Linked DNA regions of Canis lupus familiaris. The protein of the gene in region 1 purifies or fractionates together with the protein of each later gene. This does not show direct contact. Links are inferred from orthologs where the notes say so. Each region holds a gene or a part of one and is shown in the gene's direction. Other genes may lie near its edges.

Region 1 (7,292 bases):
TTGATTTGATATTACTATGCCAGTTGAAGATCTATATCAATTTCTTAGCAATCTGTCAGTAGAGATGACAGAGCTTCACTGTATCATTTAAAGCCACCCTAGGGGCGCCTGGCTGGCTCAGTCAGTTAAGCCTTTGGCTCAGGTCATGATCCCAGGGTCTGAGATCCAGCCCCACCTCAGGATCTCAGCTCAGCGGGGAGCCTGCTGATCCCTCTCCCTGCCACTCCCCCTGCTTGTACTCTCTCTCTCTCTCTCTGTCAACTAAATAAAATCTTTTTTAAAAATTAAAATTAAAAAATAAACTAATTCACTCTGATCCATAGTCAAATGCACAATTAATTGAAATAGGTTCTAAAAATTATGGGATCTAAAACTCTAGATCTAGAAAAGTAGGGTTTAGGTTCATGGAGATGGAGACTAGAACCTAATATTAGTTTGTAAAATTATCAGAAAAATATAGTTTTCAGAATAGACTGATAACAGCTACCATTTATTTTGTGCTAGGCAATGTGGTAAGTAGTTTATGGAAATTATTTTGGTTTATCTTTACAACCACCTTTAAAGCAGATGTCATTTCCTCATTTTACAGATGAAAAAGCTAATTTACAAATATTAAATGATTTACCTAATATTGCATAGGTCAAGACTGCAGAATGGAGCTGTTGATATCAAGCTGAGTATCTCATGGCTTTAACTGATGGCCTGTTTATATCTCAGAGATTATTGGAATTAATCCCAATCCTGCTGGCTCAGACATTGTCAGAGTACAAGACATCATGGCCATCCATTGTACCTCACATGGCTCTGAACATCCACTCCTCCTGTCCCAAGGGGGAGCTCAGCAGGGCCTGGAATAGTTGGGAGTCCCAGGACCACCAGTGGGGTAATGAGAAAAGCTGCCTTATCTGTTTAGTCTAACTTGCCATACAGATATGCTCATTTTCTAAGTGGGCTGTGACATGGAAAAAGTTGGAAAGCTCTACTTGAATCTAATTCTCCTCCTTTCCCTTCTAAAAACCATCTGGAAATCCCAAACCAGTAATCAACAAACATCCCTACATCTTCAATCTGTTCTTGGAAAGTCACTGATTTAAAATTTGGCAAGTCCTGAAGACAATGCTTCCCTGCAGCCTTGAAGATACTATAAAATGACCCATCCTGAGCCATGGACTAGGATTGCAGCAAAGATGGGGGGGTGGATGTCATCATCACCCTCCTTCCCCCAGCCAACGTCAGCATAGCTTTGTCACTGTTTTCCTCAAGAACAAACCCTGCTGTTCAGACCAATTTCAGATTCTGAGTCAAATAATGTTTGTACACATCCTGTTAGTAAAACTTAATTTATGGTCACTTCTAACAACTAGAGATGTGTTCACAGAGCTGAGAAGTAGAAAGCCTCATGGTAGTGTTCACTAGAGAATAAATCTAAATTGTTTTGAGCATCTAATCAGATTGAGAATGAGGGGAAAGGGACTATTTTTTGCTCCATTTTGTCAAATATACATGCTTGAATTCTGGGAATTTTACAAAAATGTCCTTCATACCTTTGGATTTCTAGCTGAATAACTCTGCTATGGAAATGTGGGCAACTAGAAACTTTCTATGAGATAAATAAGTAATGTATAGTCATTGTTTTTTAGGCTAGTCATCTGGTATTGGCAAAAGGACACAGATTTGCAGCCTGAGGACTGGTGTTCAAGCATAAGCTCTAATATTAACTAGCTGTGTGACCCTGATAAAACCCTTACCTCTCCCAGTCTGTTTCTTTATTGTCGAATAAGAAAGAATCCTTCATAGGAGAACTACCCTGGGGATTAAATGTTAAAGGTGCTTTGTAAACTATAACACTACACAATTATCAACCATCTATTGCATTGTAATAGATGAGTCAGGCATGAGGTCTGACACAGAGCTGATGCACAATATTTATAGTATAAATAAGTAAACCCCACTGGTGAGCTGGGTGATCTCAGGCAAGAAACATCTCAGTTTCTCTCTTTTGCCTTCTCTGATAACCACCTCCCCCTAGTTCATTGGGCTCCAGACATACAGTCCTTTTTCCTGTTCTTCCAGCAGAGCAAGCTCACCCCTGCCGCAGGTCCTTTGGACCTGCTGTTCCCTCTTCCTGAAACATTCTTCCCCAGCTCTTTGCATGACTTTCCAGTTCTCATCAATCCAGTCTTAGATAAAATGTCATTTATTCAGAGGCTTTATTATTCAGTGAGTAATATTCCTTCCACGTCATTCACCCAATATATATTCCTGTTTTATTTTCTCCTTAGCACTTATTACTATCTGTTGACTTATTACACTCTCCTCCACTAGAAAAAAAAAAAAAAAACACTATACTAGAGCTTCCCTGTCCACAACTGTATTCCAATGCCCAAGATAACATCTAACTCATAGTAAACTCTCAATAAGCATTTGAATAAATGAAGTTGAAATATGATAATTATATTAAAAGTTTCATTTTCATTCATTCAACAAATATTTTGTATGTACCTATGAGAGCCCAGGTTCTATTTCAAGATGCTGGGGATTCAACTGAGAACAAAATAGACAAAAATCTCTTTCTTGGGGTATGACTACTAGTGGGGAAACAAAGAAAAAACAAGGTTAAAAAGTAAAAACATACTATATCTGATAATGTTAAGTGTTAAGAAGGAAAAAAATAATAAAGCAGGAAAGAAGGACATGAAATATGTGTGGAGGTGTTAAATTTTAGATAGGGTAATCAGAGAATGAAATGAGAGGCTGAGCCCTGAGGATATACGGGGGAAATGCATTCCAGGTCATGGTAACTGGCACAATAATGAAGGTGTTGGAGAGTAACACAATAAAGGATGAGACAGGGAGGTTAGGGGAGTTGGACTGTATAGAGCCCTTTGGCTAGACTAAGACTTTGGCTTTTACCAAGAGCGAGATGGTAAACTGTTGAAGAATAGGAGCATCAGGGTATCATGATGCGGCTTGTTTTAAGAGGATTGCTGGGGCTGCTGTGCTTCGAATACCTGAAGGGCAAGGGAAAGGACCAGTGAAGACGCTACAATAACCTTGGCAAGAGATGATGGCTCCCCAAGACTCGGGGAGGAGGAGTTGTGGGGATGGAAGATGAAATTTTGGATCCGACAGTCACATTGGGAGAGTTTAAGGGGGAGGTCTGCTCTGGGAGTTAGAACTTGAAACTCAAATGGTATTATTTATTATCAGCAGTAAACCAATCATGCAGATGGAGTCCTGACTCTACCACATCCTGGTAGCAAACTGTTGAGTCGACTATTTCTAGGTTCTGGGCCTCAGTTTCCCTAAGTAAAATGGAGAAAGTGTTCCCACATAACAAGGGCCTTCAAGAGAATGAAATGAGAAGTGTTGAAGGCTGACAGTGAGCAAGGTGAAAACCTTTGGCTTAAGACTGCACGAACCTGTACCAGAGGGAGGGGGCTGCTGTTAAACCAGAGACTGACTTTCAATTCCACAGCACACACTCCGAGAACCCCCAGCAGCGACCAAAGAGAAGCGTGTGGGCCCCCTACCGCAAGGCGGTCCGCAGAGCCCAAACCTCGCGAGATTTGTTGGCCGGGCAACGTCCCACATCTCGCGAGACCAAGGTTTATGAGTGACTATCGGCCGGTTAGGGCTTGCTGGAAAGATGGAGTATCGCGGGTTGGGCACCGTAGAGGCCGCGGACAGTGGAGGGGCCCGGCCATACAACAGCTCCGAGGAACGAGAAGGACGGGAACCGGACGGGCTGCGCTTCGACCGCGAGAGGGCGCGCCGCCTCTGGGAAGCAGTGTCCGGGGCCCAACCAGTGGGGAGGGAGGAAGGTGAGTCCGGGGACCTCAGAGGCAGCGAGTTCAACCGCCCGCTCATTTCACGGGGAGGGGCGGGAGCGCGGGGCGGGAGCACGGACAGCCCCCGGGTCTCCGGTCACACCCCCTGGCGCCCGGCCCGCCCCCTTGCGTGACGCGCCCCGGGACTCCTGGACTCGTGCACCCCAGCAGGGCCTGGGTACCATGGGCCAGGCACCCCGAAAATTGAGGCCGCAGCACCACAGGAATGAGGTCTCCGGGCTTAAATGGTCAAGGCCCCTCTCGTACTCCGGTCCCTCCATTCTCACCCACCAGAGCGCAGCTCTTCTTCAACTCTTCTTAAACGACTTTCATTCCTATCCATCCCTTCTCGGAGACCCACGGAGCCTTCCCCGCCAGACTACTAGCCCCCCACCATTTCTCACAGACTCCATCGTCCCAGTCCACAGGTTCCCCCACCCCTATGTCCCTTGCCTCCTTTGCATCCTTTCTCTCATACCCCACACTGCCAAGGACTCCAGAAGGTCTTCTTTTTTTTTTTTTTAAACATTTAAGATTTTTTTTTTTTTAAGATTTATTTATTCATGAGAGACACAGAGAGAGAGGGGTAGAGAGAGAAGCAGGCTCCACGCAGGGACCCCGACGTGGGACTCGATCCCAGGTCTCCAGGATCACACCTTGGGCTGCAGGCGGCACTAAACCGCTGAGCCACCCGGGCTGCCCGTCCAGAAGGTCTTCTTAACCCTATGTTCCTCCTGGCCTTGGTGTCTTGAACCTGATTTACCCCTGTTTCTAGGTGTCTGGTCTCAACTGCCTGGGTCCTTTTTATGAGGTGAGGGCCGGGAGACTGAGAAACTGGCCAGAGTATACTTTGGCTCCAGCTTCTTTGTATCCCATGCTTGTGCCAAAGTTGTGGAGAACAGGATACAGGAGAGGCCACTTCTGGGCTGAAAGCTTCCCAGCTTGCTCTGCATTTGACCTGGCACTGGGTAAAGTGGAGATAGAGGAGGATGGTAAAAGCTGGCCTGACTTGGTTGTGTGACCTCTTTCATAGTCCTTAGCAGTTAGCTGCTTAACTCTTAGCCAGAAGTACAAGAACTGTTTGGCCTGTGCTAATCCTGTCAAGTAATCTATAGGGAAATCAGATAATTTGTTTACTTGGTGAGCAGACTAATCTTGGAAAGTTTAATGTATTGCTTGTGAACTGATTACCCTGGAATAAAATGGAATTTTGGCCACATCCAAGGAAGGTATGTTTACATTTGGGGTGGTACACAGACCTATGCCCTTTTGTATGCTTCTCCAATTTAAAAACTAGTCTAGTCTGACTCCTAAATTAATATGGGCCCTCTTTCTGCCTCATAATTTCAAACTTGTTTGATACAAATCCTCCCCCAAACACACCCCAATTTTCCTTTCACTAATTTGACAAACATTCATTGATACCTGCTCAGTACCCAGGATGGCTGGGCATCAGAGCTACAGAGATGAGGAAGATACTGTCCTTGTCCTGAAGGGATTTTATAGTTCTAGTCCAGGAAGCAGACACCAAAACAGTTTCAGCTTAATGTAATGGGTGCAGTGAAGAAGAATGTATAAGAATTGGTTGTGCACAAAGAGGGAGTGACCTTTGTCCTTGAGGGATAAGAAGGGATCGCTTGATCTTGAAGCAGAGAACACAACAGCTGTGCTCTAAAAAGTGAATTGCTTATGTGTCTATGAATGTACAGTGTCACTTAGGACCCAGCTCATTTTTCCTACTCTCCTCACTTTCCAATAATTATATGAGGCCTAAGTAGATACCTGTAACCCCAAGTTCTACTCCTCTTTGTTTTGTTTTTCTCTTAGCAACTTTTTTTTTTTTTTAACATTTATTTATTTATGAGAGAGAGAGACAGAGAGGGAGAAGCAGGCTCCATGTCGGGAGCTCGATGTGGGACTCGATCCCGGGACTCCAGGATCGCGCCCTGGGCCAAAGGCAGGCGCCAAACCACTGAGCCACCCAGGGATCCCCTCTCTTAGCAACTTTTATTGATAATTTATATACCATAAAATTCACCCATTGTAACTGCACAATGCAATGATTTTTTAAGTAAAAGTACAGAATTGCGTTTTAGAATATTTCCATCACTCCAGTTAATTCCTTTGTGCTTCTTTTTTTTTTTTTAATTTTTATTTATTTATGATAGTCACACAGAGAGAGAGAGAGAGAGAGAGAGGCAGAGACACAGGCAGAGGGAGAAGCAGGCTCCATGCACCGGGAGCCTGACATGGGATTGGATCCCAGGTCTCCAGGATCGCGCCCTGGGCCAAAGGCAGGCGCCAAACCGCTGCGCCACCCAGGGATCCCCCTTTGTGCTTCTTTACATTAAACCTCCACTCTTACCTTCTGCCCTAGGCAACCACTGTACTCTATAAATTTACCTATTCTGAACATTTCATGTAAACAAAATCATACAATATGTAGCCTTTTGCATTTGGCTTCTCAACATGTTTTTGAGGTTCAGCCAAGTCGTACTGTGTATTAGTACTTAATTACTTTTTGTTGCTAAATAGAATCCCCATTGTATAGATCTTGCTTTTTTATTTTTTCTTATTTTTATTTTTTTTTAATTTTTATTTATTTATGATAGTCACACAGAGAGAGAGAGAGAGAGAGGCAGAGATACAGGCAGAGAGAGAAGCAGGCTCCATGCACCGGGAGCCCGACGTAGGATTCGATCCTGGGTCTCCAGGATCACGCCCTGGGCCAAAGGCAGGCGCCAAACCGCTGCGCCACCCAGGGATCCCGATCTTACGTTTTTAAATTTTTTTTTTAAGATTTTATTTATTTATTCATGAAAGACACAGAGAGAGAAAGGCAGAGACATAGGCAGAGGGAGAAGCAGGCTCCATGCAGGGAGCCTGACGTGGGACTCGATCCTGGGACCCCAGGATCAGGCCCTGGACTGAAGGCGGCGCTAAACCGCTGAGCCACCTGGGCTGCCCTAGATCTTGCTTTTTTATCCTTTGACAGTCTCTGCCTTTTGAGTGGGCTCTTTAGACTATTCACATTTAATTTCATTATTGATATGGCTAGATTTACATTTTCTACTTTGCTGTTTATCTCCTTTACATTTTTTTTTTCTCTCCTTTACATTTTGTTCTTCCCTTTCTCCTTTACTGACTTCTTTTAAGTATTTTTTAGTGGGGATCCCTGGGTGGCGCAGCGGTTTGGCGCCTGCCTTTGGCCCAGGGCGCGATCCTGGAGACCCAGGATCGAATCCCACATCAGGCTCCCGGTGCATGGAGCCTGCTTCTCCCTCTGCCTGTGTCTCTGCCTCTCTCTCTCTCTCTCTGTGACTATCATAAATAAATAAAAATTAAAAAAAAAAAAAGTATTTTTTAGTGGACCATTTTAATTTCTGTTAATATTTTTTATACTTTTTTTTTATTTTACTTTTTAATTTTATTTTCTTAGTACCCAAGGGACTACAGGATGCA
Region 2 (7,192 bases), on another chromosome or scaffold:
TTTCTTCTCTTTAGATGAATCTGAGCTCCTCACTGTTCCTGATGGTTGGAAGGAACCCGCTTTTTCTAAAGAGGACAATCCCAGAGGACTCTTGGAGGAGAGCAGTTTTGCAACTTTGTTCCCAAAATATAGAGAGGCTTACTTGAAAGAGTGCTGGCCTTTGGTACAGAAAGCCTTGAATGAACATGTATGCACATTTTATATACTTATTTGAAATTTTGCTTTTATGCCTTTTCTAAAAATAAGTATATATGCTGGTGGATTTTTTTAAAAAGGTACTAGCGTAAAAAAAATAAAAATAAAAAAATTAAAAGGTACTAGTGTAAGTAGTTAATTTAGTTCCTTTTTTGGTGTTTTGTTTTTTTAAAGAAAGATCTTTAGAGTAAGTGTGTGCACCTACAGGCATGTGTGAGTAGAGGCGGGGGGCAGAGTCCCGCGTGGACTCTGCCGAACACAGAGCCCAACGTGACATTTGATCTCACAGCCCTTGAAATCATGACCTGAGCTGAAATCAAGGGTCGGATGCTTAACTGACTGGGCCACCCAGGTGCCCCTGGTTCCTTTTAAACAACCTAGATAGAAGCTTTATTCTTTTAATCCACTTGTTTTTAGTTTTGTGAGTAATAGATTACTTTTAAAAATTCACACACCTTTAGAACTGTAGGGATCTCATCGACTTTCTGAAACTCATCTCAGAATGCCTGTTCTCTACTGTGATATTTGCCATGTTTCTGTATAGTTTGAGTTGAGGCATGTACCTGGATGATTTCTTAATTTTCATTTTAAATGGAAGGGGTAGGGTGTGGCCAACTATCCCCTGTATGTACCTGCTGCCATTTCCCTAGAGTAATACATTTGTTTTTATTTTTCAAACTGGATTGAAACCCATTAGTAGAGCAAGAAATCCCATTTAATGGATATAATGAGCCTTAAAAAAAGGAATGCATCCAAAAAATAAAAATAAGTATCACATATGGTAAGGATAAGTTTCATTTTATGAAGTTTTTGGTTCATTTATATATGTGCACGTGAGAACCTGTGCACACACCAGGTTGTGATATAAAATGTGTTTCTCATCTAGGTGACTGCTCCAGAGTTTTGTGCCTGTTAGGTATTAGGGTGGTTCAGCAAACCACAGGCTGTTTTACAGCTGTCTGCATCTGAGATTAGACTTGTAAACTCACAGAGACCCAACCTTATGTTGAATTGTTCATCACTCACTACACTGAAATATAATTCACAAGATGCTATCAGAAAATGACATTTTAATTTGCTTTGTTGAAATCTGTTTCTTCCTATGAACAGTTAATGCCTAATTTTCCAGTTATTTTTTCTTTCTGAACCTATGAGAATTTGTTTTTACTTTGTATTTAGCTAATACCAGGTAGAAGAAAGTTTGAAAGGAAAAGTCTGTTCTTAACCCAAAGGAGCAGATGGCAGATCACAGCCCTGTCCAGGATAGAGGAGCTATATGTAGCTTTAGATTTTCACCCTAGGTCTTAAGTATGACCTCATTTGCATTGATACATATTTTTTAAACTAGAAATTATCTTTGAGTACAAAGTTCTAAAGCCAAGTAGAAATGGTTTCAGTGCCTAAGTTTCTTACATTCTTTGAAATATGAAAGTAATCAATGTTCATTATTTTTATCAACTACTCAGCTTCTTCAAGGGGGGAGTTGATAGAATTAGAGCTTAATTTACAGTAATTAATAGTTTGATAGGATAGGCTTTGTAATTACCTAAAATTGAATTGATTTTTAGACAGTTGTGTATTTGCTCTTTGCTTTTCTCAGCACGTTAATGCAACCCTGGACCTGATCGAGGGCAGTATGACTGTTTGTACAACAAAGAAGACTTTTGATCCGTATATCATCATTAGGGCCAGAGACCTAATAAAACTTTTAGCAAGAAGTGTTTCATTTGAACAGGTAAATTTAGAATTACAAAAACTTTGCTGTATTTGCATCAACTTTAGAGATAACATATAACACTGCATCCCTCCGTCTTAGAGTTTTTATTTTTCTGGTTAGATTTCATTAGCCTGGGCCTTGAAAACAAATGTGTTTGTAAAGAATATTGATGGAATATTTTCTTCGTTTTTCCCAAAGGCAGTACGAATTCTTCAGGATGATGTTGCTTGTGACATCATTAAAATAGGTTCTTTAGTAAGAAATAAAGAAAGATTTGTAAAAAGAAGACAACGTCTCATTGGCCCCAAAGGATCTACATTAAAGGTACTTTTTATCAGTGGAAAACTTGAGTCTTTCTCTGTCATTAGTTTTTCATTGTACTGAATTTGAGCTTAATCTTTTGTTATAGGCTTTGGAACTGTTAACAAACTGTTATATTATGGTTCAGGGAAACACGGTTTCAGTCATTGGACCTTTTAGTGGCTTAAAAGAGGTGAGAACTATTTACTATCTTCAGTTAATTTTCATCACTCCTAGATCCTAACATAATATGGTCAACCTTTGGCAACTAAGGAAGTATCCACTCCTGAGTTAGAAGGTCTGCACATCATTTCTTTTTCCACTACAAATTTTAAATGAGTATTTAAGATTTTTAGTCTCTAGCACATACAGGAAATGTGTATTTACATGTGCTCAAGTGATTAGAGAATTGAATGTTGATATTATTTGCAGTAACCTATATAAACTAGTAGAGGTCAGATTCTGGAAACTTTCCTTTAAAATAGTTTTCTTTTTTTTTTTGTTTTTTTTTTTTGTTTGTTTTTTTGTCTGAAGTTTAGTGTAGTATTTAATGTTATGAAAAAATCTGTGGAGCAGTTACTGTGTCTTAACTCCTTTTGTTGTCTGGATCTGGCTGCGAGGTCTTGTTCCCTTTCTAGGACCTACAGTAGTTCTGTTGGACCTCTTCTAGTTATCTGTCCTCTTCTCATGTGGCAATAATAATAACTTAAATATATTGAATATCCTGTGGTTTTGTGAAGTCTAAATATATTGTCTTATTTAATTTTTACAGCAGAGCCTTGAGATAGTTTTACTTCTGTACTACAAATGAGAAAGCAGGAAAAGGACAGGTGACTTTCCCTTACGAAGTGGCATTCCCATTATTGAGCCCGTATTTTCTGACTAAATCTAGCTACTTTCTTCCTAAATTCCACAGTTCCAAAATGTTGTTGTATTAGTTCTATATGTTACATTTTAGCAGTAAGTTGAGAAAATCCATTGCTTCCAAGAGAAGTTGACTATTATGAAAGATCTAGAGGTCACCCAGAGCAGTTGAAGGCCTACTGTATTCAATTTGGGAGTCATTGCCTGGTTCATAGGGTATGTTGCAGTGTATTAATCTCCTTCCACTGAGTTCATTAAAATCTTTTTAAATGACTAATTCATTTTTCTTTGCAAATTTCAGGTTCGAAAAGTAGTCCTAGATACTATGAAGAATATCCATCCAATTTATAACATTAAAGTGAGTTAATTATATGTTACTGTAACAGTGATTGTCAGACTTCTTTTAGGTGCAGAAACTTTTCTTGAAATTAGATTTTTTATGGAAGCCTAATGCACAAAGCAGATAAAGCAGAATTATTCAGGGTAGAGGTAGAGTTCTGCACACCCAACTACCCTAGTCCTGGAGTTATATCCGTGGAGGCTTAGGTCTCTGTGCTGTGCCGTAACGTATGGTGTAGTTCTGATACGAAGGACATACGCTTCATGAAATTGGTCATAGATGATCTCAGTCAGGTTTTCTTGGATTATGGGCCCATTACTATATTTGAAGATGTGATCGTTCAGAATTCTGCCCTTTTTCTATTAGTAGAGTCTGGAATACGTCAGATTGCATTAACACTATTTTTTTTTAATTTAATGTTCAAATTATAAACTCTTTGAGAGAGATCTGTTATATCCTTGTGTGCTCAGCATTCATGATTATACCTGGGAACATATAACTCATGATTATACCTGTTGTTAATGAACTATTTCATGAGGGTATTTTTGAAGCAATCCACTTAAATTTGATAAAGTTACAAAGTCACTCTTAGATTGGGATGGAAGAACGATTTTGAGTTGCCTTGGGACATTGAAGATAAAAAGAGCTGCTAGTCTTGTATCTGATGCCCGGTTTGCATCCTTTGATGTTCCAGTGTGTGCAGAATTCACATGGAGTGGGAGAAATGTGAGAATATTGGTTTTGTCTGATCAAGAGAAAGTTTACTTTTTTCTTTCCCTGTGATAATTAAAGTGCTACCCAAAAACTTCCAGCTTTTAGGGAACATTGCTAATTAAGAACTCTCCCTGCTCCAATTAATATGTATTTTAAAGACTTTTTTGTTTGTTTTTTAAAGATTTTATTTATTTGAGAGAACAAGTGATGGGTAGGGGCAGAGGGAGAGCATGAAAAAAGCAGACCCCCTGCTGAGCAGGAAGCCTGATGCGGGGCTCCAGCCCAGGATCTGGAGATTATGACCTGAGCCACCAAGGCACCCAAATTTTAAAGGTTTTAGTGAACTAATGGTTGAAAAGCTGAGTTGTCTCATCTCCGTTCATTTTAACAGTTCTGCATTTTTTTAAGGTTTTTCTTTTGTTTTTGTTTTGTTTTTGTTTTTGAGAGAGAGCGGGGAGAGAGGGAGAAGCAGGGTCCCCACTGAGCAAGGAGCCTGACATGAGACTCGATCCCAGGACCTTGAGATTATGACCTGAGCTGAAGGCAGACGCTTAACCAATTGAGCCACCCAGGCGCCCCAATAATTCTGCATTTCTTAATCTAAATTTCTAATGGTTTTCTTGATGCTTGATTTGAGATTACTTTTCTTATGGAGTCTTTTGCTCCTACTGAGGAGATTAAGAACTACTCATTTTAATTGTATTATTTATAGGAATAATATTTATAATGTCTTAGTTTGACAAATGTATTACTTATAAAATTAAAAATTCTTTCTTTGTTCATATATCACCATGACTAAAGACCTTAATGATTAAACGAGAGTTGGCAAAAGATTCTGAATTAAGATCACAAAGTTGGGAAAGATTCTTGCCACAGTTCAAGCACAAAAATGTGAATAAACGCAAGGAGCCAAAGAAGAAAACTGTCAAGAAAGAGTATACACCATTCCCACCACCACAGCCAGAAAGTCAGGTCAGTATTAATGTTGAATTTATTTATATTAGGGGGATACCATTTTAATCTATTTTGTTAGAAAGTTTATGGAGAGTTATTTAGGTAGATTTTCTCTGTGTGTGTGTGTGTGTGTGTGTGTGTGTGTGTAAGTATAAGAAACTAAAGGTAAGTGTAAATAGGCTTATTTTGAGCTAAGTGTGGGCGTGGGGAGTAGGGGCTTCACAGTAAGAGTGTAACCTCTGTCTAGGTGGTTGCTGTCAGTTGTGCCCCTGTGGCCACAATAAACATCCCATGGATTAAACAACAACAACACAACTTAGCCCTTAGTGCTCTCACTCTGCCTTAACATCATTCTTGTGACATGTGCTATATGACTACTCCAGTTTTGAAATCTTAAATTCTAACATCTGTACCCCCTCTTTTTTTTAATTTATGAGGGCTTCTCTTATGGTCACTTGTTTTCTGGCTTCATTTTTTTCCCCAAATTTCCTTTTCTCTCTGTCTCATCACTATTTCTTTTATGCTGCCTTTTCCTTCTATCACATCTGTCCAGCAAAACTCTCAAACTTGGTCAGTCCTAAAATTTGACTCCTTTCCCATAATGTGGCTGCTAAACATATTTGGAGAAAGTCTTTGGACTGTATCCATTATAATGATGCGTTTCCAACCTCAGATCCTCACTGTTGTCTAGTAGTTCTGTGTGTCCTCTTAGTTCTTGAAGCACCCTCCCACCTCTAGCAGATGACACTGTATTTTATTGTATGGCAGTATTTAAGACTATCAAGTGAGAACTCCTTTACCTTCCTTTTCTCTCACCTGTAATTTTTTTTTCCATCTGCGCCAGTCCTTTCTTCACCTGTTCTTTGAATTCTGTCTTCACCTATCTTCTGAGGTATCTTATGTCATGATTCCCTACGTTGGCTGTATCGAAAGGTCCTTCCTTTCTTCTAGTTCTTTGTTCTCAGCATAGTAACACATCTCTTTCTATATTTGGAGTTTGAATTTCAGAGGTTTGATGAAGGTCAGAGTGGAAAAGTGATCATGGTGATAAAACAATGGAAGTGTTGGATCATGAGGTCTATTCTGGAAAGGGAAGCAAAGAAAGGCACTGTTAGTTGGGGGAAGGTAGAGTGATCTTATTACTCAGGCGTGCTTCCATAACACCTACTATCCTTCTTATGGGCCTGTCCTCTAGTTAGTAATTGTCTTACCTTCCTCTCCTGTGACTAAACTTCTTAAAACAGTTAATGTCTCAATTGACTTTTCCTGCCACTTACTTGCTTCGTGACTGGCAATTTATTTAGCCCACCCATGCGTCAGTTTCCCCTGTACGTAAAATGGGGATAATATAAATAAATATCTATCTCAAAGGATTGTTAATGAGGGTTAAATGATCAGTAATTGTAGTTTAGTAATTGTAAAGAGATTAGTAATTATTACGAGTGTAAAACATTGCCTTAGATATAATAATGCTGTGTCAGTTTGAGATAAATCAGGATGAATAAGCTGTTACTTTCTCTAATTAGTGTTGAATTAGTCCCCAAATCCTAACAATTCTTGCTCTTCATTTTGCATGCCATTACTTTATTCCAAGTGTTTTTCTCTTCTTTCTTCTGTACCTTTTAAATACTGCTTTGGTCTCCATTTCTCTCAGAAACCTGCAGACATTTCTAAATTGTAGCCCACCCTCTTTACCTGGCATGCACATTTCTTCAAGCTTACCCCATATTATCTTTCCAGTTTCCTCACACTTCCTGAATCATTGATGTTCCATCCACCTAAAACAGCCTGCTGTATATTTCATGAACACATCACCTCCTTTCCTACCTCCATGCTTTTTGCATGTATTCCCTTCAGGTTAGAGCACATCTCCTTTTTTTATGTTACCGCCTTTATGAATTTATCAAGAATTTTTGACCTTGCTATCTTTAACTCAAGGGCATTATGCATTTCCTAGGAAATGTCTTTTATCTACCTATTTTCTGATGTAATTGTAAATCATGATTTCAACAGATTGATAAAGAATTGGCTAGTGGTGAATATTTTCTGAAGGCAAGTCAAAAGAAGCGTCAGAAAATGGAAGCCATAAAGGTAAGACTCTGTCTAGC

What was found.
Region 2: the proteins of ZNF346 (region 1) and KRR1 small subunit processome component homolog purify together in Homo sapiens (affinity purification with mass spectrometry; 3 studies listed by BioGRID and IntAct, with this or other methods). This does not show direct contact. The link is inferred for Canis lupus familiaris from reciprocal best matches to the Homo sapiens genes ZNF346 and KRR1.

What each region holds. Positions count from the first base shown.
Region 1 is NC_049225.1:37,186,811-37,194,102, reverse strand, and holds the start of ZNF346 (zinc finger protein 346), read left to right. Parts: upstream 1-3,602; 5' UTR 3,603-3,649; coding exon 3,650-3,824; intron 3,825-7,292.
Region 2 is NC_049236.1:18,822,178-18,829,369, reverse strand, and holds part of KRR1 small subunit processome component homolog, read left to right. Parts: intron 1-14; coding exon 15-187; intron 188-1,795; coding exon 1,796-1,930; intron 1,931-2,110; coding exon 2,111-2,236; intron 2,237-2,321; coding exon 2,322-2,405; intron 2,406-3,377; coding exon 3,378-3,434; intron 3,435-4,931; coding exon 4,932-5,102; intron 5,103-7,097; coding exon 7,098-7,175; intron 7,176-7,192. UniProt on the Homo sapiens protein: Part of the small subunit (SSU) processome, first precursor of the small eukaryotic ribosomal subunit.